Arabidopsis thaliana: one gene and its partner. The protein of the gene in region 1 interacts with the protein of each later gene in a pairwise test. Each region holds a gene or a part of one and is shown in the gene's direction. Other genes may lie near its edges.

What was found.
Region 2: the proteins of PHS1 (region 1) and MPK12 interact in a two-hybrid assay, tested with the Arabidopsis thaliana proteins (one study listed by BioGRID).

The regions. Positions count from the first base shown.
Region 1 is NC_003076.8:7,992,531-8,005,611, forward strand, and holds PHS1 (dual specificity protein phosphatase family protein), read left to right. Parts: upstream 1-5,666; 5' UTR 5,667-5,778; coding exon 5,779-5,820; exon of another isoform or gene 5,821-5,975; coding exon of another isoform or gene 5,976-5,990; coding exon 5,991-6,068; intron 6,069-6,158; coding exon 6,159-6,301; intron 6,302-6,436; coding exon 6,437-6,638; intron 6,639-6,710; coding exon 6,711-6,887; intron 6,888-6,991; coding exon 6,992-7,152; intron 7,153-7,634; coding exon 7,635-8,730; intron 8,731-8,875; coding exon 8,876-9,022; intron 9,023-9,139; coding exon 9,140-9,367; intron 9,368-9,466; coding exon 9,467-9,624; intron 9,625-9,706; coding exon 9,707-10,064; 3' UTR 10,065-10,318; downstream 10,319-13,081. Other genes in the region: AT5G23700 (coiled-coil protein), read left to right, coding at 321-641, 730-911, 990-1,068, 1,184-1,225, 1,310-1,372, 1,828-1,877, 1,973-2,000, 2,135-2,209 and 8 more; AT5G23710 (DNA binding / DNA-directed RNA polymerase), read right to left, coding at 3,998-4,690; RUP2 (Transducin/WD40 repeat-like superfamily protein), read left to right, coding at 12,756-13,081. UniProt on the Arabidopsis thaliana protein: Probable dual specificity phosphatase that binds and dephosphorylates MPK18, modulating the organization and dynamics of cortical microtubules.
Region 2 is NC_003071.7:18,941,767-18,951,877, reverse strand, and holds MPK12 (mitogen-activated protein kinase 12), read left to right. Parts: upstream 1-3,810; 5' UTR 3,811-4,005; coding exon 4,006-4,274; intron 4,275-4,360; coding exon 4,361-4,490; intron 4,491-4,643; coding exon 4,644-4,781; intron 4,782-4,869; coding exon 4,870-5,202; intron 5,203-5,298; coding exon 5,299-5,482; intron 5,483-5,554; coding exon of another isoform or gene 5,555-5,577; coding exon 5,578-5,744; 3' UTR 5,745-5,941; downstream 5,942-10,111. Other genes in the region: LCBK2 (Diacylglycerol kinase family protein), read right to left, coding at 43-120, 207-266, 372-425, 539-615, 776-959; BPS2 (BPS1-like protein), read left to right, coding at 2,518-3,561; AT2G46060 (transmembrane protein-like protein), read left to right, coding at 6,878-7,049, 7,218-7,276, 7,361-7,469, 7,589-7,698, 7,777-7,845, 7,927-8,469, 8,560-9,110, 9,199-9,263 and 4 more.

The DNA.
Region 1 (13,081 bases):
CATACATCATTCATTTTTATTTTTTTCCTTCAATTTCTTAATATATTAACTTGCCTTATGAATTAAAATTATATAAATGTTTTAATTAAATTATGTCATAACAATTAAAAATCAAATCTGCAGTTGACTAAAGTGGTCCCACTTTTACCTCCGCCAAATCTAATCCCAATCGATGACGCATGTGTTCTCCTCCGTATTAAACGGCGTCGTTTCCACTCTTTCACATTTTTTAAACTGCTTACCAAAATCCCTCCCACGCCACCGCGTTCATATCTTCTTCTTCTCTTCAGTGATTTTGAATCTGGCTTTAAGTTCTCCTGATGGATCTCAGGAGACCGAGTAGCCCAGTGTACGGTCGTCAATGGAGCAGATCATCCAACGGTACGGAATCTAGATCGCCGTCGATGTCTCCAGCTCACCGGAATCAAATCGGTGGTGTTGGTGGCTTATCAACCGTTAAAAGAACTCAAAACGTAGCCACCAAAGCGGCGGCTCAACGGTTAGCGAAGGTTATGGCTTTACAGAACAAAGACAATGAAGAAGACGATGATGACGACGATCACGAATTCAAATTCGCACCTCCTTCTTCTGGACCTATCAACGGTTCCTTCGCTCGCCGTAATCGATCGCATTCACCTGCGGTAAAATTTCGTAATTGAGATCTTAAGAAACAGATTTGGCTGCTGTGATTTTTCTCATTTTTGTGTTTGTTTTTATGAGTTTTATTAGATAGGTAGGAACATCACTGAGCAAGTGACTTCAGTGCGTTCGTCGTCGACAGGAAGGCCATCAACGTTTAGTAGATCATCAACTCCGAATGCGTCTCCCCTTTGGATGCCACCTAAGGCATCGTTGAAACCTCCGGTGATTATTCCTCCAATTGATCATTCATTTAAGGATAGAGATCAAAGGTGAAGAAAACTATTCACTTTCTTTAGTGGAATTTGTCAAAACCAGTTCCTATTATCTCATAGATTTAGCGTTTTCAGATACTTTGGTGATGTACCACGCTTAGTAAATTCGAGAGATAAGGGGTATCAGCGAGAAGCTTCAGCTCTTCGTGATGAAGTATGTGGGCTTTTTCCTTTTAACCCTTGTGGATTATCTACTGGTCATTTTTACCTTGTATATGAAAATTGTTAGAAGCTGTTGGACTTGAGGTTGACTAAATTTTTACTTGCAGGTGGATATGCTACAAGAGGAGAATGAGATTGTATTGGAGAAGGTTCAACGTCTTTTCACTAAAATTATTTTTCATGAAAATAAGTTGTTATCCTCTGTTTTCATAACAGTTTGTTCTTGATTACAGCTTCACCGTGCAGAAGAAATGCGTGAGGCAGCAGAAGCCAGGGCTCGAGAGCTGGAGAAACAGGTTTTGATCCAGTTGTTATCACTAGTTTATCTTTGCTGAATTTGTTTCTTGAGTTTTGAGAGAAAACTATTCTGAACTTGCTTACATTATCTTAACAATAGTAATTGAAATTAATCTTTCATTAGCCTCTCTTGTCTTGTATTTTATATTCTGTATTTTTAGGTATGTATCTTATAATGTAGCTACGTACCATTATGTTAGTTTATTTAAGCCGTTAGAAACATTTTAGTGTGTTTGATTGACCAAATGCAATGAAGTTATGCTCTCATATCAATATTTTGTGGTCATATATGCATGAAAATGCAATGAACTTGTACTCTATATTTTTTAAAAAGTAAATTTCATGGAATCTGCATACATTTCAAGATTTTATTTTTACTTAGAATGACATGCGTGTAGGTGCTAGCATATTTTCAAAGATTCATCTGTCCCTTTTCTTTTCTTGTCCCAAAAAGGTTGCTTCTCTTGGAGAAGGAGTGTCTCTGGAGGCTAAATTGTTAAGTAGGTAAGGAGCCTGTGACCTCTTTTTCTTTATCTTTCTCTTCTTTAGAATATACGTCGGTAACTATAAAGCTCATGATGAACTGTGATTTCCTTCAGAAAGGAAGCGGCATTGCGCCAACGTGAGGTTAGTGTGTAGAGATATATAAAATTTTAATCGCTTCTTTGGTTGAGCTCCCATTTTGTACTTTTATGATGCCACATTAAGTTATAGATAAACATTTTTGTAAAGCCTAACGATTAAGACTGACTGGCTGGCAGGCTGCTCTTAAGGCTGCTAACGAGAAAAAAGATGGGAAAAAGGAGGAAGTTGTTTCCCTCCGTTCAGAAATTCAGGTAGGTCTACTAATATTTTGGTATTAGAATATGTTTGTTATTCTGATCTGCATTATGTAATCATTTCTTTATGTTCAGATCTTGAAGGATGAGGCAGAAACAGCTGCGGAATGCCTTCAAGAAGCGGAATCAGAAGCAAAGGCTCTTCGTATAATGACTCAAAGAATGGTTTTAACACAGGACGAAATGGTATGTTTAGAAAGCTCAAGTCTCATTATACTCACGTTTAAAGATTTCTGATTGTATGGAAAAAAAAATTGATCATCTAGGAGGAAGTAGCCTTGAAGAGATGCTGGCTTGCCCGGTATTGGGGTTTGGCAGTGCAGCATGGTAAGTAATGCATCCATCTTGTGAACGTGTTCTCATTGATACACTTACTCAGCTCTCTAATTTTGGTCAAAGGCTTGTAGTTGTGGTGAGGTAGTTTATTTATTAAAATTCTTAGATATTTGGTTTTCCTGTGGCTTACCTATGTAGGCATTTGTGCTGACATAGCACCATCCAGGCATGAAAAATGGTCGGCTCTGGCTCCTCTTCCATTTGAGCTGGTCATATCTGCAGCACAAAAGACCAAGGAGTTATCTCGGGACAAAGGCTAGTCTTAATATTTGCTATGGCCAAGGTTTCCTTGATACTGTTTACTTACCAGCCTTTGGAATTGATCAGGTGGGAGTGATCAGAGCAAAACTGCTAGATTTTTAAGTGATCTACCTGGAGAAGGAAATATCGAAAGTATGCTTTCAGTTGAGATGGGTTTGAGAGAGCTGGCATCCTTAAAGGTAATATACCATTGTTTCTTTACTTTAAGGTATCTTCAAGTACATAATTAAGTTCTCATATCACAACGAAATTTAGGTTGAGGATGCTGTTATGCTTGCATTCGCACAGAAGAGAACACCGAGTTTGGTTCGTCAAGGTATGTATGCTATATCATCAATTAGTACAGTGTCAAATATAGTCTGTTTTTACTAGTCATCGAGATCAATAGTCTGTTTTCTCCATATCTTACAGATTCCAAAGGGCATGGAGAACTCAGTTTTGTAGAATCATACGGTAAGAGAAGAGAGTCCAAACATGCACAATATATCATATCAGCAGTCAAACTTGATGAAATCCTTACTATGTTATCACATTTCTCAAATGCAGAGATAAAAGAAGGGGAACAAGAAGATGTTGCCTTTAAGCAGGTAGTTTCTTTATGCCTATAATTTCATAACTATAAGGTTATAATGTGACATTTTGTTACAAGAGATGGTAATTATTGGTATATTGTGGTTGGTAACTAAATTTATCGCGATGAATCTTGATGAACCGACGTTATTTGGTTATAAATGCAGGCATGGCTTATGTACTTCTGGGGTAGAGCCAAGTTGCATAGTGTGGAAGAAGACATTGCAGATGAACGTTTCCAGTTTTGGACCAGTCGTAGTGAAGGAAAATCTCCGACTTCACAAGATGCCGTTGACGGTAATAAACTTCTTCAATTGATTTCCCCTGTGTCCTAATTCTAGTTTTAATAACACATTAACTTGTTCTCTTTACAGTGGAACGAGGTTTGTTAGAGCTAAGGAAACTAGGAGTAGAGCAACAATTATGGGAAGCTTGTCGCAAAGAAACAGATCAGCTTCTTCCATCTTCTTCTCCGACATCTACTCTTTCAAATCACAACCTTGACTCTTAATTTAAAGATATCAATAGCATTATTCTCTATTGTATAACCGAAAAAACAAATCATCATAATCTAAAATCTTAAGTTTTAAACCCAAAAAAAAAAAAAAAAAGAGAGTGCTAAAAGTCTAACCATTTCTGAAAATAAACACATGTAGTGGGAGAGATAACACCATCAGGTGAACAGATCGCTATATGCGGACAAACCCCGCAAGGAATCGAAGCAAAAGCTCCAGCTCTCGGTTCGCCATTACCGAACTTTTTCCCGGTCAACCTGTAGCAAACTTCTCCGATTCTCGTAGAAGCAAACTCATTCATTCCATTACTCTTCACCTCCATGATCAAATTATCCAAAATCAAGTTCTTAAGTATCTCCTTAGTCTGATCAACACTCAGCTTCTCCTCTTTAACAAAATACCCACACAAAACCTCCAAAGTAACAACCCTCTGCCTATGCCTCTCCAAAATCATCACACACTTGGCTTTCAAATCTTCGATTTTCGACAGGTCAAGAGCTCCATCAGTGTACCATTCACCACCAGTAAGTTCACTACAAGGCTCAAACTCCATTGCAAGATAATGTTTGACACCTTTGTTGTTCATGTTTGCTACTTCTTTGATGAGATTCTTCTTCCGTAGAGAAGCGATCAATCGAGTAACTATAGTTGCTGGGATCGTTTTCTCGCGTTTCAATTCGAACATAGTTGCGCCTCTTCCTTGGTTTATTCGAATCAGATCCAGAAGCTTCTTCTCGTGTGGCTCGTTTAGATCACCTCCCGATGATTTCGGATCCGGACGTTTTCGTTTACTCATTCTTACAAATTCACCAAACTGCAAAAATCAATCGGAATTGTGACACGGTAATTGAGAGAATTCGTGTGATTTACGAAAAGGATTGATCTATACTATAAGAAGGTGATAAAATCGATGATTCTGAGATTACAAAGGATTTTGGTGAAGATTCAGATTCAATTTACCTGGAGATTGGTTTACTGGAGATGAACAATCCGATGAATATAGAGGCTTTAGGAGAGTTCAGAGAACGGAGAAGTCGTCCGTGACTGGAACGGATACGAAAACCCTAGGTCTGCTTTTAGCTAAATATATAAGACAGAGAAGAAAGTCAAATATATTAGTGTGGGCCTAAACTAATACACAACAAAAGGTAACTCGAAGTGGATTGGTACATATTGTTCAGGATTTTTGTTAATTCAATATGAGATTTCGCTATACAAGTTGGTTTAGATAAAAACATGTAGATTAAAAATATTTATTTTTAAAAAATTCAATTTATTTTTTAAAAATAGAAATAATTATAAAGTATTAAAATAATATATAATTTGCATAAAATTTTGAAAATAATTTATATTGTAAAACAAAAAATTTGGTCCAAAACAATTTATATTGTAAAACAAAGAAAGTATATATTTTTGATTTTTTACTAATATTTATGCTTATTAATTTTCAGAAATAAGTTGACAAAAAAATTCTATAAATATTTTATTTTATTAGACTGAACTTTTTCAGATTAAACCATAAACTTTAGTGAATATTTTTTAAAATCTAAAACCATTTTTGTATAAATGTTGTTGATTTCGACCGAAATAGTTTCATACAAAATATAGTTTTAAATAATAACACAAAACGGAAATAAAATAAAATTAGAAGACAGTTCTGTAAATAATAATATGTTTATTTTTTTAAATCTTGAATAATGAGAATAAAATGATCAGAGTCTTTATTACAATAATAAATTTATGAAATTAAATATCCGTCTTCTTTCTTCGTCCGACAAGTTCATATTAATTAAAGATACCTTGAGACTTTCCTCTTCTCAGATACAAAGCTGACATTTGAAGAAAAAGACATTTCTAAAATTAAACAGAACCTAAGCTTTTGCAATGGCGGAACCTGAGAAGAAGCGAGATCAACCATTTTCTCAAGTAATCATCCTTCATTTTTCCCCCACAAATTTAATAATCTATCATTATCACCCCCACCTTTTGCGTTCATCATTACCCCCACATTTATCTCTCCCTCTTTTCGCAGAGCCAGATTTTGATTTTGATTTTTTCCCCTTTTTCTCTGATCTGATATTATGGTGCTATCGCAGGAAAAAGACGAAGAGAAAGATCTATACCTTGTTCACGACGAGCACGAGTCTCCTCTTCCTCTCACCGTCACTTCTCGTGTAAATTTCTCCGATCCTAAATTCGTTTTAGGTTTTAGGGTTATATTAATAGTCTCGTCTTAAAAATTGGAAGACTTTTGGAATTTGCAGGTTTTGTACATGTTAGGAGATATAGCATCTGGTCCAGCTTATAGGTTTACTCAATGGTTGGATTTAGTTCGTAAACGAAGTGCTACTTACGGATCCTCTGGCTTCCCTCACCGCCTTCACCGCATCGATGATATGGTCACTAGGTTAACACTTTCTCTGACTTTTTGTCAAGTACTTGGTTTGTTGATTATGATTTTGGAATCTTATGAGTATATCAGAACAAAGGTTTCTAAATTAGGATATTAGTCTTCATGTCAGTTGATACAAGTATTATCCAGTGCAGGAGAGAGGAATACTGATCCTAAAAGTCCACCAAGTAGGCAGAGTTCAGAGATTAGTTTGTGGGAAAGGCTTGGTAAAGCTTCTACTGTGGATATTGATTCGAGCTGTTTTTCATGGAATATGTTGTCTTCACTTCATCATACTGAACATAGTAGTAGCACTGATCATTCTGAAGAAGACCAGAGTAAACCACTTGAGGTATATATATCATTATGATCTTGGACTGGTGATGCTAGGAGGATCTTTTGACACTATTAGATGTCTGTACAGGTTACTGTGAATTCTGGAGGAGTTGTTTTCTTTGCCCTGTTCAATAGTTCCAGCTCTGAAGATGCCTCTCGTAAGGAAGAAGCAGCAGTTATTAAATTTGCATCATCGAGGATGGCCACGCAATCAGAACGTCTAGGTTATGAGTTTTCCAAGTGGCTAGGGGTGCAGATTCCGCAGGTGCTTCTTTTCTTTCTTGTAGTTTTTTAAAAATGTAGTAATGGTTTTGCTCATTTCACTTTCTTTCTAGAATTTTCAAGTAATGAGTAATCATCATGCGACAGGCTAGAGTAATTCACAGCTGTAATCCTGAGTGGACACTGATCAAAGAAGCCACTGAAAAAGCACAAGCTAAAGCGACTTCGGAGGGGGACGAGGTTGGTGAAATGACATGTTCAGAACTTCTGGAAGCCCTTGAGCTCAGCCGTTGTCTTCTCTTAATGAGGTGAAAGCACAAGATTCATCTTTATTCTTTATCACTTTTCTCCATTTTTTACTTGGACCAGCAGCATAATGTTGACAGTTTTTTTGTTCCTTTGCATTAGTGTTTAACTAGATGATAGTAAACCATTTGAAATATGAATATACCATTTGATAATATATTTTAAGAAAAATAAAAGATGTTATGTTATTAGATATAAAAATTGTATTATAAAATAAGAAAGATCTAAATTACAAATATGAGGTGGAATTATTTTATTGGATAAAATTTGATAACAACAGTTAAACAGAAATCTAATCTTGCTTTAAATGATAATAAATATGAGAGAAATAGCTGAACAGAAATCTAGTCTTACCTAATAGGATTATGTAAAATCTAGTCTTACCTAATAGGATCATGTAGGCACTTTCAAATTTACAATTTTTAATGTGATGTTTGTATAGAACCCCTCTTCTTAGCCCAGGATTCTCTATATGTGATTACAGTTATGTTCATGGATGTCCAATGCTGGAGAGCATGAGTAGTTTTGAAACTGAAGAAAAAGCAGAGAGAGCTGCTGCAGCTCTAGGGAGAATCTTGGTGTTAGATCTAGTAATTAGGAATGAAGACAGATTACCGTGTCGTCAGCTGAGATGGCGTGGCAACCCGGCAAATCTGTTACTGACAGACAGAATTGTGTCTTCTGCAAAGCATCATGAATGTTCATTTGATGAAGCTTTTGATTCCGCCATCAAACGGTACCATCCAAAGGACTATAGATCCATTCAAAGGGAAAGAAGAGCTTCTTCCGTAGATAGCAGATCCAGGTTGAGTATCAGTGATCAAATGTTGGTCTCACAGGCTTCTGATTTTTCTGATATAACGGAATCACCTAGATCATATGATACTGGTTTAATGAGTCCAATGTCTGATAGATCAGTAGCTGCCGATTTTCACCTCGTTGCCATAGACTCGGGTGTTCCACGGCGGCCTCCTGCTGGAAAACGGGCAAGCGACCAAGAAATTTATCCAAGATTAGTTGAGTTACTCCTCAATAGTAGCCAATATTCTTCGAATTTGTTACATGAAATAACAGAAGGAAGTTTAGGATATCCACAGGCAGAAGATGGTGAAGAAACATCTAATGTTCGATCTGTAGTAACACCAGTTGTACGCGAGTTTCGAAATGGTTTCCGAGCTGGTCTCAGGGATTTGCAAGAGTTTCACATCTTCCTTGTCACCCTTCATCAGAAATTAGATGTGTTGCTTCGGGCATTTTTTAGTATGATGGACAAAACAATGTGTGCAGATTTTGACAGAGAAGACTTTGCTGTTCCTGAGTCACCTTCACATACTCATGGGCATGAGGTGAATCATTATCCATCTCCCTCAAAAGATCGGGTGCCTAGTGATAACAGCTCTGATCACAGTGAGTCAGATATGCAAAAATCAGTTCCTAGGACACCAAATTCAGAAAACAAAGAAGACGGGTCTTCGCCTAAGTCACGTGAAAGTTGGCACGGAAGATCCGGTAAAGGTGGAGAATCTCTTAGCAGTCAGCGTTTGGCAGCAAAGCTCCGTGACTTCCATAAGTTTGCAAAGGTTTGTCGCTTCGAGCTTTGATCACTATGTTCTAATTTGTAAAGTAGGTTCAGATTTTTTATAAAAAAAAAAGTTTGTCTTCTTGGATGGAAGTTCTCAGCCATTTTCTCTTTCTTCACTCTCAATATTTTCATGGTGCGTCCAGGTTGATGCTGAGTCTAATAAAGAACTAGACCAGTGGAATGAAACACTGCGGAATGAAGTGATGAAACTTTGCCAAGAGAACGGTTTCAACACTGGTTTTTTTGAGGGCAGTGATAATAACAGTTGCACAGATGCTTATGAGCTAAAGGTATCATGAAGTTTTATTATTTCCTTTTATCCTGAATATGATCTTCATTATATAATATAGTTTTTGGCAACTGAACTCAAACATTGTCTCTCTTGTTTGCATTCTCCTTGATAACAGGTTAGACTTGAGCATATTCTTGAGAGGATATCATTGATTAGCAAAGCTGCTAATACAGAGAAACCATCAATGATACAAGAAAATCTTTTTATCGGGGGAGGATTGGCTGCAAGGTCGATTTACACTCTTCAGCATTTAGGTATAACTCATGTTCTATGTTTGTGCGCTAATGAAATCGGGCAATCGGATACTCAATACCCGGATCTCTTCGAGTACCAAAACTTCTCAGTAAGTGAACCTGTCTTATATGTCTCTTAAAAGGAATTGGTAAAAAAAAATGCATCTATAAAGATGATCGTTTTCTTCTTGTGTCTTCCCTTTGACCAGATAACCGATGATGAAGACTCAAATATCGAGAGCATCTTTCAAGAAGCTCTCGATTTCATCAAGCATGGCGAAGAAACTGGTGGCAAGATTTTAGTTCATTGCTTCGAAGGTCGGAGTAGAAGCGCAACAGTAGTGCTTGCTTACCTAATGCTCCAAAAGTAAGTTGTTGGGGACAAATAAAATTTGTTGGAAATTTTCAATACTTGTTCTCATTTGTTTACTGGTGGGAACAATAAATAGGAAGCTCACACTTTTAGAAGCATGGAGCAAACTGAGGAAAGTTCATAGACGAGCTCAACCGAATGATGGATTTGCGCGGATCTTAATAAACCTCGACAAGAAATGTCACGGGAAAGTATCAATGGAGTGGAGACAGAGGAAACCGACAATGAAAGTGTGTCCGGTTTGTGGAAAGAACGCAGGTCTAAGCAGCAGTTCTTTGAAGCTTCATCTCCAGAAATCTCACAGGAAACTGTCTTCGGGAAGTGTTGACAGTGCAATGAACATGGAGATTCAAAAGGCTTTGGAGGCTCTTAAACTCAGCACTGGCCGTGGCTCAAGTGCTAGTTCCAATTCTTTCCAATCTCATCCTGGTTAGAGAGTCCGGTTTGGTTTTATCTATGGTTTGTCCCGGTTAAAGTCTCTCTAATCGTACATCTCTGAACAAAAACATTGATCTGTTTTGTTTTGTTTTTTACTGTAACGATCTTTGTACTTGTATACGCAAGTAAATAAAAAGCCGAAAAGCTGAATAGAAGTCACTGGGAAACGTCATAATAAGCTAATGTAACATTTGTAACTCTTTTTCCCTTGTGCTTTGTGTTAAGAAAGTAAGATTTGGCCCAAAAATGTCATAAAACTAAAAAATTGATTGCGTAATCAAACAAAAGTTCCCTTTCATTTTCGATATAATAAACTAAAAAAATTTGACATTCTTTCCGGCGTGCACATTGATGAAAGTGAACTCTTGTTAACTTTCATTTGTGACTTGTATGGAGTACAAGACGTGCGTGATGTGCCAGACGACGGAGAAAGATGAAGGAATCATGAGGTGGTATATGTATGAAGAATGGCTATGGAAAGCAGACAAAGTAAAAATTGATTGAAATATTGGGGAACATAAATGCAAATCTAATTTGATGTTAAATCTATGTGGGAAATCTGATAACGGTGGATCGTCTTTGTGGACCAACTTGGTGTTAGCTTTTTTTCCAACTACTTATTAATTTATCCATTCCTTTGTTAATGACTAGTCTCTCCTTTAAGTCATCCTTTAAGTTGCTTTTGTATCTCCACTTTATTCTCTGCCTTCTTTTTCATGGGAAAGTTGCACATCAGAAGCACCAATGAACTTGTAATGAACTCCTTCAAAAAAATTTCTGATATTATATCTTAAGCGATGTCCTCTCTCCTACATTTTTGTTTGTTTATTGTTTACCAATTTCTTGAATAACAAGTTAATTTGTTTCTTCAAAAAGTGTAGAAGCCCACTTTTGTAACGGACGTTAAGATTGCGCTTTAGTTGGTGAAATTTTATATGTTAGGTAGTTCACGTATTTTGTTGTTTGGAGAAATATTAATAAATGGCATTAAATGGAAATCGAATCCATTCTTTGAAGCAGTGTGGGTCCAAACATGGAGCACAAGTGTTATAAAAGACTTGAGGCTGAGAAGTAACGAAGAGACATGAAAAAGAGGACAATGACCAAAGGTGGTACATAACACACGTATGACTCGTCCTTACTTTGCTGTCCACAAAATTCTCTCATAAAACTAAAACCTACCACCGATTTTTTCTCCTCTCTCTCTCTCTCTCAAAATCTGCCCCGGCTCTTCTTTATCGGACGCGTAGTATCAATATCGATATTTTAACCCCGTGATCTATGCTTATCTTTTCTTGGTTATATGGTTATAGAGAACCGTTATCTGTTTTTGATACCTGTAAATAATATAATAGAAATGCTTCTTAGACCCGACATTCGTAAATAATATAATATCGAGAATCAAATAAGTTACATGATTCGGATTTTCATTAGGAATTGGACAACTATCGAGAATGGTTATGGCATATTTATACATGTTGACCACTTATTTGTGAGTGGTTATTATCCCGGATATAAAATGATCATCTAAGTGAAAATTTTTGAATCCGTCCAAACATTTCTACTATTGATCCGAATGACAAAATCAAGATAAACTAGTACTCCCTCTATTCATAATAGTTTGATGTTTTGGATTTTGACGCTTATTAAGAACTCAATTATTGTTTAATCATTTTAACATTTTTCTTAGTGTTATAAGACAATAAAAATAAAGAAAAATGCTAGAAAATCAATTTTTATGAAACAAAAAACAAAAGCTAGAGCATCAAACTTTTAGGAACATATGGAGTATTTGGTATCAAACGATTTCGTCTATACGATATGGCAATTTTAAGCGTATATGTCTCTTTCTAGCTTTGAAAGTTGATTTGATATAGAAGAAAATTGACTATTCTGTAAAATAAAAAGATTGTATAAGTGCATTGAAGCCATGAAGGCTATAATTTATTTATATTTTTTTTGGTGAATCAAGCAATTGAAAGTAACCAGATAGGAAAATGCTACGTCTTTTTCAATCACATCGTCGAAAGTTGTACATTTTCTAACAACAACAAAGTAATTCAAATCAAATCCTAAATGCCTACTACGATTGTAAAACTAAACAACAACAAAGTAAGTTAAAATTCAAACGTTGATAAGAAACTATTTACTTTGTTAGTTTTGGTGTAGGAAAAAGTAAGTGGTACAAATAGACGTTTTGTTTTTGGTTTTTAATGTTTCGGTGTTACCATTACGATCATCTCATCATTGTAATTTACGAACAACCTCAATCTAATGGTCAGTGAAGATTTATTGTGATAGTAGTCGAAATGTTACTATCTTTTTTATTCAACATTTAGTTAACGTCCTTTCGCCTACTACAAGTCAATCAATTTAATACAAGAATTTGCCATGTTTGGCTATATAAGTAGCCACGACAACAAACTTCACACTTTCTTGCCTGAAATAGAATTCACATGGGACCTTTCTCTGACATTTGCATAGGAATAGATAAACTCATAGAATAAAAATTCATACGTGGATTAGTAATAAACCCAATTATTTACTGAGGGAAAAACAAAAAGCCATATTAAAATGAATATTATATTCTAATGTATTAAACTATTAATAAAAAAAATTCTTTTGAATGGGATTGGTTTTCGATTGGTCCGAAACCCCAGAAGCAACAGTCATTACTCTGTTTTCATATGAACACTCTTCATCCTCACAAGCAGCAACAAGAACAAGCACAACAACAAGAAGAAGCTAGATACGAATGGGATCTTTCTCTCTCCACCGTCGTATCTTCCTCCTCCTCCTCCGCCTCCGACGTTATCGGAGCTATTGAATTCGATCCCACTGATAACATCGTCGCTACCGCCGGGATTTCAAGAAAGATTCGTTTTTACGGCCTCCCTTCTCTTTTACGTAACAACGCTGTCTCCGGTACCGGAGTTTCCTTCGTCGATCAAGCCACCGCCTGCGAATATTACATCTGTACTCCGGCGAAACTTAGTAGTCTCCGGTGGAGACC
Region 2 (10,111 bases), on another chromosome or scaffold:
TATACACAAAAACAAGTCAAAAAGTCAACTCAAGCTACTCACACCAAGTGCAGTCGATCGACTAGCTTCCCCACTGAGATAACCGACAGGTTTCCCCTCCCAAAAGAAACCATTAACAACCTGTAGATAAAAAAAAAAAGGACAGAATGAGTGGAGCTAAGAATCTCCAGAGCGCAGTTCTAGCAACCAAAAATGGCAATTCCTACCTCATGAAGTGTTCCATCACCTCCAACCGCAATGACAGCATCTGCACCATCCCTTATAGCCTGAGAGGATAATTAGAAGCAACAGAGGATCATCATAAAACCAAATCGACAAGACAGAGAATACTGTACCCAGCAAAGTAGTATATTACTTTCACTACTCCTTACCTCTCTTGTAATGTCAATGGCATGAGAAGGACCCGATGTTAATAATTCACTTACCTGGAGAAACAAACAAGAAGACACGTAAACTCAGTTGAAGGAACTGAAGAAAGCGAAAGGAGATGGCATCACTAACACAGGGGCACAAAAAGGCAAGTGAATCAAAAACTCACATTACAGTCTTTACCAAGACGAGATCGAAGGTGAGGAAGCAACTTCTTCCATTCTTTAGCTGTTCTACCATTAGCACCTAGACTCATATAAAAGACATTGAAAAGAATCAAGAGACGATAATACTAAACCTCAATTCCACATCGAGATTGATTCTCATATTAAAAACATCATTTTTAAATCCAATGAATTTCGAATCTCAGTTTTTTTTCATCCAGTGAGTAAAAGGGCAAACACACCTTGAGGGTTTACGACGAAAACGAGATCACGGAGGCCGGAGGAGGAGACGACGGCGGCGGCATCGCCACCACCACCACCGCGAAAGGTGAAGCGATCAGAGGTAATACGTTGCTGTTTCCTAAGGAAAGAAGGTTGTTTCGCCGTGAAAGGGCAAAGTGGAGTGCAGCAAGTGGATCGTAGCATTGTATGGCCGCAATTTAGCTCCGGTCATCGCCGTTATCAAGTTCATCGCGCGATTAGACACTTACAGAGACCTTCTGTTTCAGCGAGAGGCTTTTTCACAACGTTTATGGGCCGTTTTTTATCTTCAAAGTTTTAAAAAGGCCTATTTTATCTAGCACAATGGTGGAGTTGTCTCAAAGTCAATAAGGTATTCAATATCGACGTAATTCGATTAGGAATCTTTTGGGAAAAATGCCCTTTGGACCTGATGGCCCATAAATTGAGGTAGCTATACCTAATGGGCTTAAAGAAACAAGAAAAACGATTGAGATAAAGACAGCTCTTTAGTCTTTGTCCGGATGTAAATTAAAAGTGGGGTCCATACTTTTGTCGACCGATTTGTTCCTTGACAGCTGTCATTTGGGCTTTGAGGCCCATGTTTTACGCAAATCCAAGGAATTCGTTACGTAAAACAAATAAAGTTGTTATGCCTTTTAAAAAATATTCACAGTTGCTGAAATTTTTTTGATGAGGATTTTACAATTTTTTAAAAAGCAAAGTACTACCAAAAATAATAATGAATCGTCAAAATTAATTTTCGATTAAATCTTCTCAGTTTTTATTTTTAAAAGTAATAACAGGAGTCTGTAGGACGTGGTATGTATTAGTTAGCCGTTAGATTTGGTTATAATAATTAAAATAAACAAAGACTACGCCAATCGACCAATGACTTATTTTATAATCCCACGAAATCGTCTCATTTTTGGCCCTTCGATAAAACTTTTAATTATTTTATAGCCGTCCACTTTCCGCTAAGAATTTAACTACACACAAGGCTGTGACCAATTAAAACGTAACAGCCATTCACTAATGGTATACTTGTAAGGTTGTAACTAGTTTTTATGTGACGGGCCGTAGCTTTATCAAACTCGACCTCCGCCAGACATTTTTCTCAGCCGATCGACTCAGAAAATTCAATGAAGCATTAGAAGAATCATTTCCACACGATTTTCCCTGTGATTTCTTCATTTCCGGCGACTTAAAACGGTAAGTTTCGTGGAAATTGAGTTTTTTTTTGTTATCTATAATTCTCCTTTTATTGTGTGTGTTCTTCTGTAAATCGAAGTTTGTGTGTTTAGTTCTAAGATAGATTTTACTGTTCGATGAAGAGTTTGTACCGAACTTCTGTGTTCAAAACTTCCGTGTAGATAATTAACTCCTAGGGTTCTTCTAATTTTGGAAAGATTGAAACTTTTATCCTAATTCCTTGGTTCTGGACATCTTCAAGTGTAGATTATGGCTTAGAACAATTGATTATGTGTTTGTTTTCATCTTCAAATTTTGATTTTACATCATTTCAATAAAGGTGGTAACTTCTTTTTTTTCAAGATCTCAAAAGTTGTCAGCTTTTTGGGACTCTTAAGGTTGGGACTTGGGATTGTATTGTTCCTCGATTAGTCCTTCTATGTGTGGCAACAACACAGAAGATACATTGAGTTCACAGCAAATCGGTTTGTATGATTAATCATTATCATTATTCTAACAATATTTCTCTTTTCATTTTCAGGTGTCTAGCAAAATGAGCCGACCACAAGATCCACCCCGAGGTTTCTTCCCATTTGGAAATCCCTTTCGGATGTTATCATCAAAGGGATCAGATTTATCGCCATGGCTACTTTCTCTATTGAACGGCTTTGAGCTACGTTTGGAAGAGAGACTGAAGAAACTTATGCCTAAGAACAAAGATGACATCCTCACTTTATCCTGGATGAAGCTAGCTATGGAGTCACTCTGCGAGACTCATAAGAACATTAACACTCTCATTACTGATCTCCAGCTTCCTGTCTCTGATTGGGAAGAGAAATGGGTTGATGTTTACCTCAACATAAGCGTTAGGTTACTAGATCTCTGTAATGCCTTTAGCTCTGAGCTCACACGTCTCAACCAGGGAGATCTCTTCCTCAAGTGTGTTCTGCACAATTTACAATCGGATTCTGGGGAGAAGTATCTCCAGGCTCGATCTTCGCTTGATAGCTGGAGGCAACATGTTAATACAAACAACCCTAGAATTGAAAACTGCCGTGCGGTTCTAGACAGTCTTGTTAAATCTCTGAGTCTGCCTAAAGTCAAGAACTCGCCTAAAGGAAAGGTTCTGATGCGAGCTTTTTATGGTGTGAAGGTTCAAACAGTTTATATCTGCAGTGTATTTACCGCAGCCTGGTCTGATTCCACCAAGGATCTTTTCGATTTACCTGTCTCTGAAAAACCATTATGGGCAAAGGTCTTTACTGATATGCAGAGTGTTGTAAATGCTGAGATCAGAGACATGTTGTCTTCCGGTAGAACCACGATTCTCAAAGAGCTGGAGAGCGTTGATGCTAGTGTCGAGAAGCTATACCCGATGATCCAAGATGGCGTTGATCCTGTCGAAGTTGAATTCTTCAAAGATAATGTTATGGAATTGGGGACACAAGCTGAGAAATTGTCTCAAGGGTTGGATCAGTTACTGGAGGAAGTTGATAGTTTCTTTAAACTGACTTTGAGAGGGCGCGATGTGTTGCTCTGTAATCTTAGGTCAAGTGACTCAATCTCTGGCAATGCAGTTGGAGAAGATGTAGACTAAAATAGTGAGGTAAACAAACAAGTTTAACCCTTACAAAAGGCAGCTTTAGGTTCTATAAATAGTGTTTTCTCTTTTTTCTTTGTTTTGAGTCCATCTGTCGAGCTTGTCTCTTCCGTTTAGGTGTGTTGGTCTTGTATGTGTGACTGTATGAAATCAATTCTGCAATAAAATATAAATATAGAATACATCTGTTTGGCTTGAAAAAATCACTGCTCTCTTTGTAGTGATCCAATCTTTCTAAACCTGTTTCAATCAAAGGAACAAATCAGAGGCTTTGATCTATAGTTAAGTGCAATTAGTAGTAACAAATGAAAAATGCAATATTGAGCTAATATCGAGTGACTCTGCTTCTTGTTACCATACACGTATGTAATCTTTCATGATCTTTAGATTCACGGGTCCCTTGAGAGATCTTTTACAGTTGAAAAAAGCTTCTCTCTTCACATGGATTTAGTGTCTTCAAGAGATACTTTAGGAGATCCTTCAACTTCAACAAAAGCCCTTCTTCTTGGTTTCTCTCGTTCTCGGTCTGATCATTGCATCATCATGTCTGGAGAATCAAGCTCTGGTTCTACCGAACATTGCATCAAAGTTGTACCGACACACGGTGGCCGCTATGTTCAGTACAACGTTTATGGACAACTCTTTGAAGTTTCCAGAAAGTATGTCCCTCCTATTCGTCCCATTGGTAGAGGCGCTTGCGGTATTGTCTGGTAAGTTCTTTTGATTCTTTGTCTGATAAATTATGAAAGCGTTCCTTCTATTGAATGTTCACAGGCTCTTGATTCTTGAATTTCAGTGCTGCGGTGAACTCAGTGACTGGAGAGAAAGTGGCTATTAAGAAGATCGGTAATGCTTTTGATAACATCATCGATGCTAAGAGAACGCTACGTGAAATTAAACTTCTCAGGCATATGGATCATGAGAACGTAAGCCTTAAGCATCATTTCTCACATTTGACAACATCTTTTAAGTTTCTCAAATTTGCTAGATCTATCAAGTGTTCCTGATCTTCAGGGTCAAATGCTCTTTATATATAATTTCGTTTACTCTAATCTTCAAGCCTCGGTTTGATTCTTTAGGTTATAACCATCAAAGATATTGTAAGACCTCCGCAACGAGATATCTTCAATGATGTCTACATTGTCTATGAGTTAATGGACACTGATCTTCAGCGAATCCTCCGTTCTAACCAAACACTGACCAGTGATCAATGCCGTGTAAGTCTCTGTGTTGTTCTAATCATTTGTAAAGTCATGGAACTCTCTGATTTGATCTTTATTCTATTTACTTGTCTTCCTGTTACAGTTCCTAGTATACCAGCTCTTAAGAGGGCTCAAATACGTGCACTCGGCCAACATATTACATCGTGATCTAAGGCCAAGCAACGTGCTACTTAACTCGAAAAACGAGCTAAAGATTGGTGATTTTGGGCTTGCAAGAACAACTTCCGACACAGACTTCATGACTGAATATGTCGTTACCCGTTGGTACAGGGCTCCTGAGTTGCTTCTTAACTGCTCAGAGTACACCGCAGCTATTGATATTTGGTCTGTTGGCTGCATACTCGGCGAAATCATGACGGGACAACCGTTGTTTCCAGGCAAAGATTATGTTCATCAGCTTAGGCTTATAACAGAGGTATACCAGTAAAGTAAAAAAAGCATCAGTTTTACACTTTTCTTAAACTGCAATGCCCAATTCTGATTTCACTTAATATCCATTTCTTGATATTAGCTTGTAGGCTCTCCAGACAATTCCAGCCTCGGCTTCCTTCGCAGTGACAACGCAAGAAGATACGTCAGGCAACTTCCGCGATACCCGAAACAACAGTTTGCTGCTAGATTCCCGAAAATGCCCACTACGGCTATCGATTTGCTTGAGAGAATGCTCGTCTTTGATCCTAACCGGCGCATCTCAGGTAACAAACAACACAAAGATCCTTAAAACATTCATGTGGTTTTTTGCAGTTTGCTTTTGGCTTATCAATTAGACCTGCATGTGTTGTGTGTGTAGTCGATGAAGCCCTTGGCCATGCTTACCTATCACCGCACCATGATGTGGCCAAAGAACCGGTCTGTTCGACTCCTTTCAGCTTTGATTTCGAACATCCTTCTTGCACAGAAGAACACATAAAGGAGCTTATCTACAAGGAGTCTGTCAAATTCAATCCTGACCACTGAGAGAGAAACATGTTTGAATGATTTGATTCCTTTTTAAAAGTCTGCTCCGTTTGGTTTGATCTAAGATTCCTTTATATTGAATCTAAACTCATTTTATCTTTGATTGAATAATTGCTATGATGATACACACATATTTATCCATATCGTAAGCCCCTGCAGAGCTCAAGTTTCTTTAAATCAAATTTCTTAAACTATTGATCATATATGATAGCATTTTAAAAAAATTCTGTTTACCAAAACAGAGTATTATGTGTAATAGTTCGTTTAGTAAAATTACAGTTTTTGAACTTATTGCCAAATAGATTGATCGGAAGTTGAAACCAAGAGTTTTGTCATTGTCTTGATCGGAAATATCACACGCCCACACAACGAAGCTTTCTCTGAAAAAGTACTAAGATATGTATGTATGTTGATAATTATAGTATTTTTCCTTTTGAAGAAAACAGAGAACAAATGTACTTTAATACCGTTGTCTAAGATTTTAAAACGCTGTCGTTGTCGATTATAAATTAGACATTGGCGCTAAAAGCCCATTAATATCAAGGCCCTCACCCCAATTAATTTAAAAGAAATTAATATCAAAGCCTTTTTGTATAGAGAGAGACAAAAGATAAAATATCTTTTTTTCATGGGCAGTTTCTATTATGGGCTTGGTTTGGCCTAATATATATCTGTTATTTTTCTGTTGTGGGGCATTACATAGTCCATCTAATGTTTTGTCTTGTTCAATAAAATTATCTCTCTTGTGAAAAAATAATATAAATAAGTTCCTATATGACTCTTGTCTCTGACCAACACGTACTATATTATTCATATAAACCAGATAAATATTAAACCGAATATCTAAGATCCTATCTCGCCGATATACCGTGTAAAAGACACGCGCCAAGATTCTTCATTACCAAAAATCCCAATCATTTAACAACCGTTCGATCAGCGCGTAACTACAACACTTCCGTTGCGGCGCGTGAGATAAAACTGACGAAAAATTTAACAAATGTAAAAAAAAAGTCAGTATTCAACAATCAAGACGACGAAAATTCTCTCGAGTGATGATGCTCTCTCTTCTTCTTCTTCTACTCACACTAATAAGAGTCTAAAACCCTTAATTCTCAGAGAAAGTTTCACCTACAATGGCAGAGATTTTGTTTCTGCTTTTAAGAACTCTCGTCGTGTTTTCATGTGCTCTTTCGATCTGTAATTGTCTTCAAGATGCTGCGGACAATAATGGAAACTTTTTCACGGTCTCGAGCTTCAGGTACCCTGAATCCGAAGTCAGACCCTACGATACACGTTACATCAGAGGTCTGTTTTAATCTGAGATTCAAGCTTTTTCAGCTGCTGAATGATGATTTGAAATTCAGCAAATGGAATTGGATTTGTTATATCTGATCAGTTGCTTCTGGATTATGATCATTTTGGACTATCTTCTTTTGGTTGATGCTATCTGATTCTCTGTTTGATTCCGTACAGTTGATTTGCCTCCATGGTTCTCATCATTGAATGTTGCTATTGAATCTGATGTAGACATCGTGAGTATTACAGATCTTTCTCCTCCAAATTTTGTTTTTGGTATTCAAATAAATATGTAAGTAATTGCTATTTATTGTATGTAGACTGCAAAGAGCATTTCGAAGATTTCCAAAAGTCTTCTTCCTGTTATATGCTTTCGAGATGGTAGTCCTCCTCTGCCTGATGCCTCAACCAACGCTCTTCAAGGATTAGGTACGATTTAGGTAACAACATGCTAGTTAGCTTCTTTTGTCTGGTCAAAGAGATCATATACCTTCTTACTATTTTAGGGAATTGAGAAAGTTTTTTTATATTTTTTTGATGTTTTGTAGAGCTAGGACGGTTCTTTAATGGATCTTTTGAAAGAGCTCAAGATAGTGAGATTGCACAACAGTGTTACCCTATGCAGAAGAATATAACCTTGAGATTGACCAATGAACAGGTTTTAAATTACTTCTTGTGTGTTAGGACTTTTTTAGATGATGAGTTTCTTTTCTTTTTTTAACGTTATTGTTTCCAGATATCTCCTGGAGCTTGGTATGTTGGTCTCTTTAACGGAATTGGGGCGACTAGGACTCAGGGGAAAATGGTAACACTCCCTTTATAAAACTTCTGCCTTTAGTGTTTGTTTGTTCTGATTTTGATTTCTTATAATTTGGATACTGCACAGATTGTTCGCTCCTCTGCGTTTTCATTTAGTGCCAACATTAGTGTTGAAGGTTGTAAAACCGCTACAATGTGGGGGCCTTTCTGCAACCAGACTATTTATCCGCTTTCATGTTCTCGGTTCGATAACCAGACAGCAAGTGTTATTTCTTGCGCTGATTCTTTTCCTAGTTCTTGTCTGACTGGTGCTGAAACGAAGACATATGCTTTAGATGTAGATGGAATAGCTGAACAGTTAGTTATTATGGCATCCAATGTCAAAGTAGATTCCAATGAAAGTTATCTCATGTGTTACGCCCGTTTTGAAGCCTTTGCTTCAGAGACTCTGCATGATTACGCTGCTGATATACATAAAGTTCCCTTAATTGTTAACAAACCGAAAGCTGGTCGATGGTATATAGTTATTAGTTTATCTGGACGGGAGAACCGGTTTGCACAGGGCACAAATTCCAGTTCTAGGGTCTGCTTTTCCATTAATGTTAAAGTACTCGGATGTCCTGTAGGAAAAGCAGGACCAAATTGTGGGCAGCAAATCTACATTCTTCAGGTAAGTTGCTCTAAAAGCTTGTGAGTATGTCAAAATCAAGATTGAGTTATATACTTATTAGAATCGTTGAACACGATATATTTTATGCAGGCAGTTATGAGGAGAGGATGGTTGACACCTTTTCAATCATATTATTTTCCGGTCAATGACGCTTCACTTTCAGGCTCGAGCACAAATTTCCCCCTCGAACCCATCGTCAGCAACTTTTCCTCTATTCCAGAATTAGACACAAGCACATGGACTTATTTTCTCATGAACATCCCTCAAGGTGGTTCTGGTGGACATATCCATTTCAGATTATTATCAGATTCCACAATACAGTATGAAGTATATCTTAGATTTGGTGGATTGCCCACTATTGACGACCGGGATTACTATTATGTAAATCGAACAAGTGCCAGCCGCTCAATGTTCTTCTCATTGTATAATTCTAGCAAAGAAATGGTTGATTTCTACATCTTGTATGCTCGAGAAGGAACCTGGTCATTTGGGTTAAGGCAGCTCATTGACTCTAATACTCCTGCTGCTTCCAGAGGTTCACCTACTTTAGTATCTCTTTCTCTCGAAAGATGCCCGAGAGGGTGTTCGTCTTATGGGCAATGCCGATATGCTTTTGACGCTAATGGATTGACATCTTACAGGTTTTTTATCTATCTCGAGTCTGCCAAAATATGTAAACATGATGGAAAGTACATTATCTTGAGATCAAATTCTTGTGTTGTGTTTCAGCTTTTGTTCTTGTGACAGAACCCACGGAGGCTTTGACTGCAGCATTGAAATTGTGTCACACCAAGGTATCTTAATCTATCAGTGTTTGAAACTTTGACAACTTTTCTGTATACTCATGTGCGTAAAACCTGATGCAGAACATATTGTTCAGTCTATTGCTCTCATCGCATCAAATGCAGCGGCTCTTTTGCCAGCTTACTGGGCTCTTCGGCAGCGGGTAATTTTCTTGGTTTAACACTTTAATCCGGGGCTCTTGTTTTTTTTCTTTTTTCCATCTAAATGCTGCTGATTCATGTCGTAAACAGGAGTATCCAGAGTGGGTTCTGTTTACATCCAGCGGAATCTCGAGCGCTCTGTATCATGCATGTGATGTAGGCACCTGGTGTGTTTTAAGTTACAATGTTTTACAGGTACGGGTAGTTGAGAGCTGCATCATTGTCATCTTCTATGTGACATTATACTTAATTACGAGATGGTAATTTTTTTGCTTCAGTTCATGGATTTCTGGCTCTCTTTCATGGCCGTGGTTGGTACATTTGTGTACTTATCCACGGCTGGTGAAGCAGTTAAAAGGACAATACACACAGTTGTTGCCATTCTCACAGCTTTATTGGCCTTGACTCAAGCAACAAGGTATCTGAGATGTTTGACTCAATGGTTGTGATAAATAGCACCTTGATACTATTTCTAAACATTTACATTGGCTTGCTATCTTTTTGCAGGGCGTCAAATATTATCATTGTGTTAGCAATCGGTTCACTCGGTCTCCTCATCGGATTTTTGGTAGAATTTGTTACCAAGTATCGATCATACTGCGGGTCGGCTGGATTTTCATTGAACATGCTCGACAGGTAAAATAAGGAAGCCATTCTGTTTCCTGACTTACGCCGATTACCTACTGTGACAAAATCAT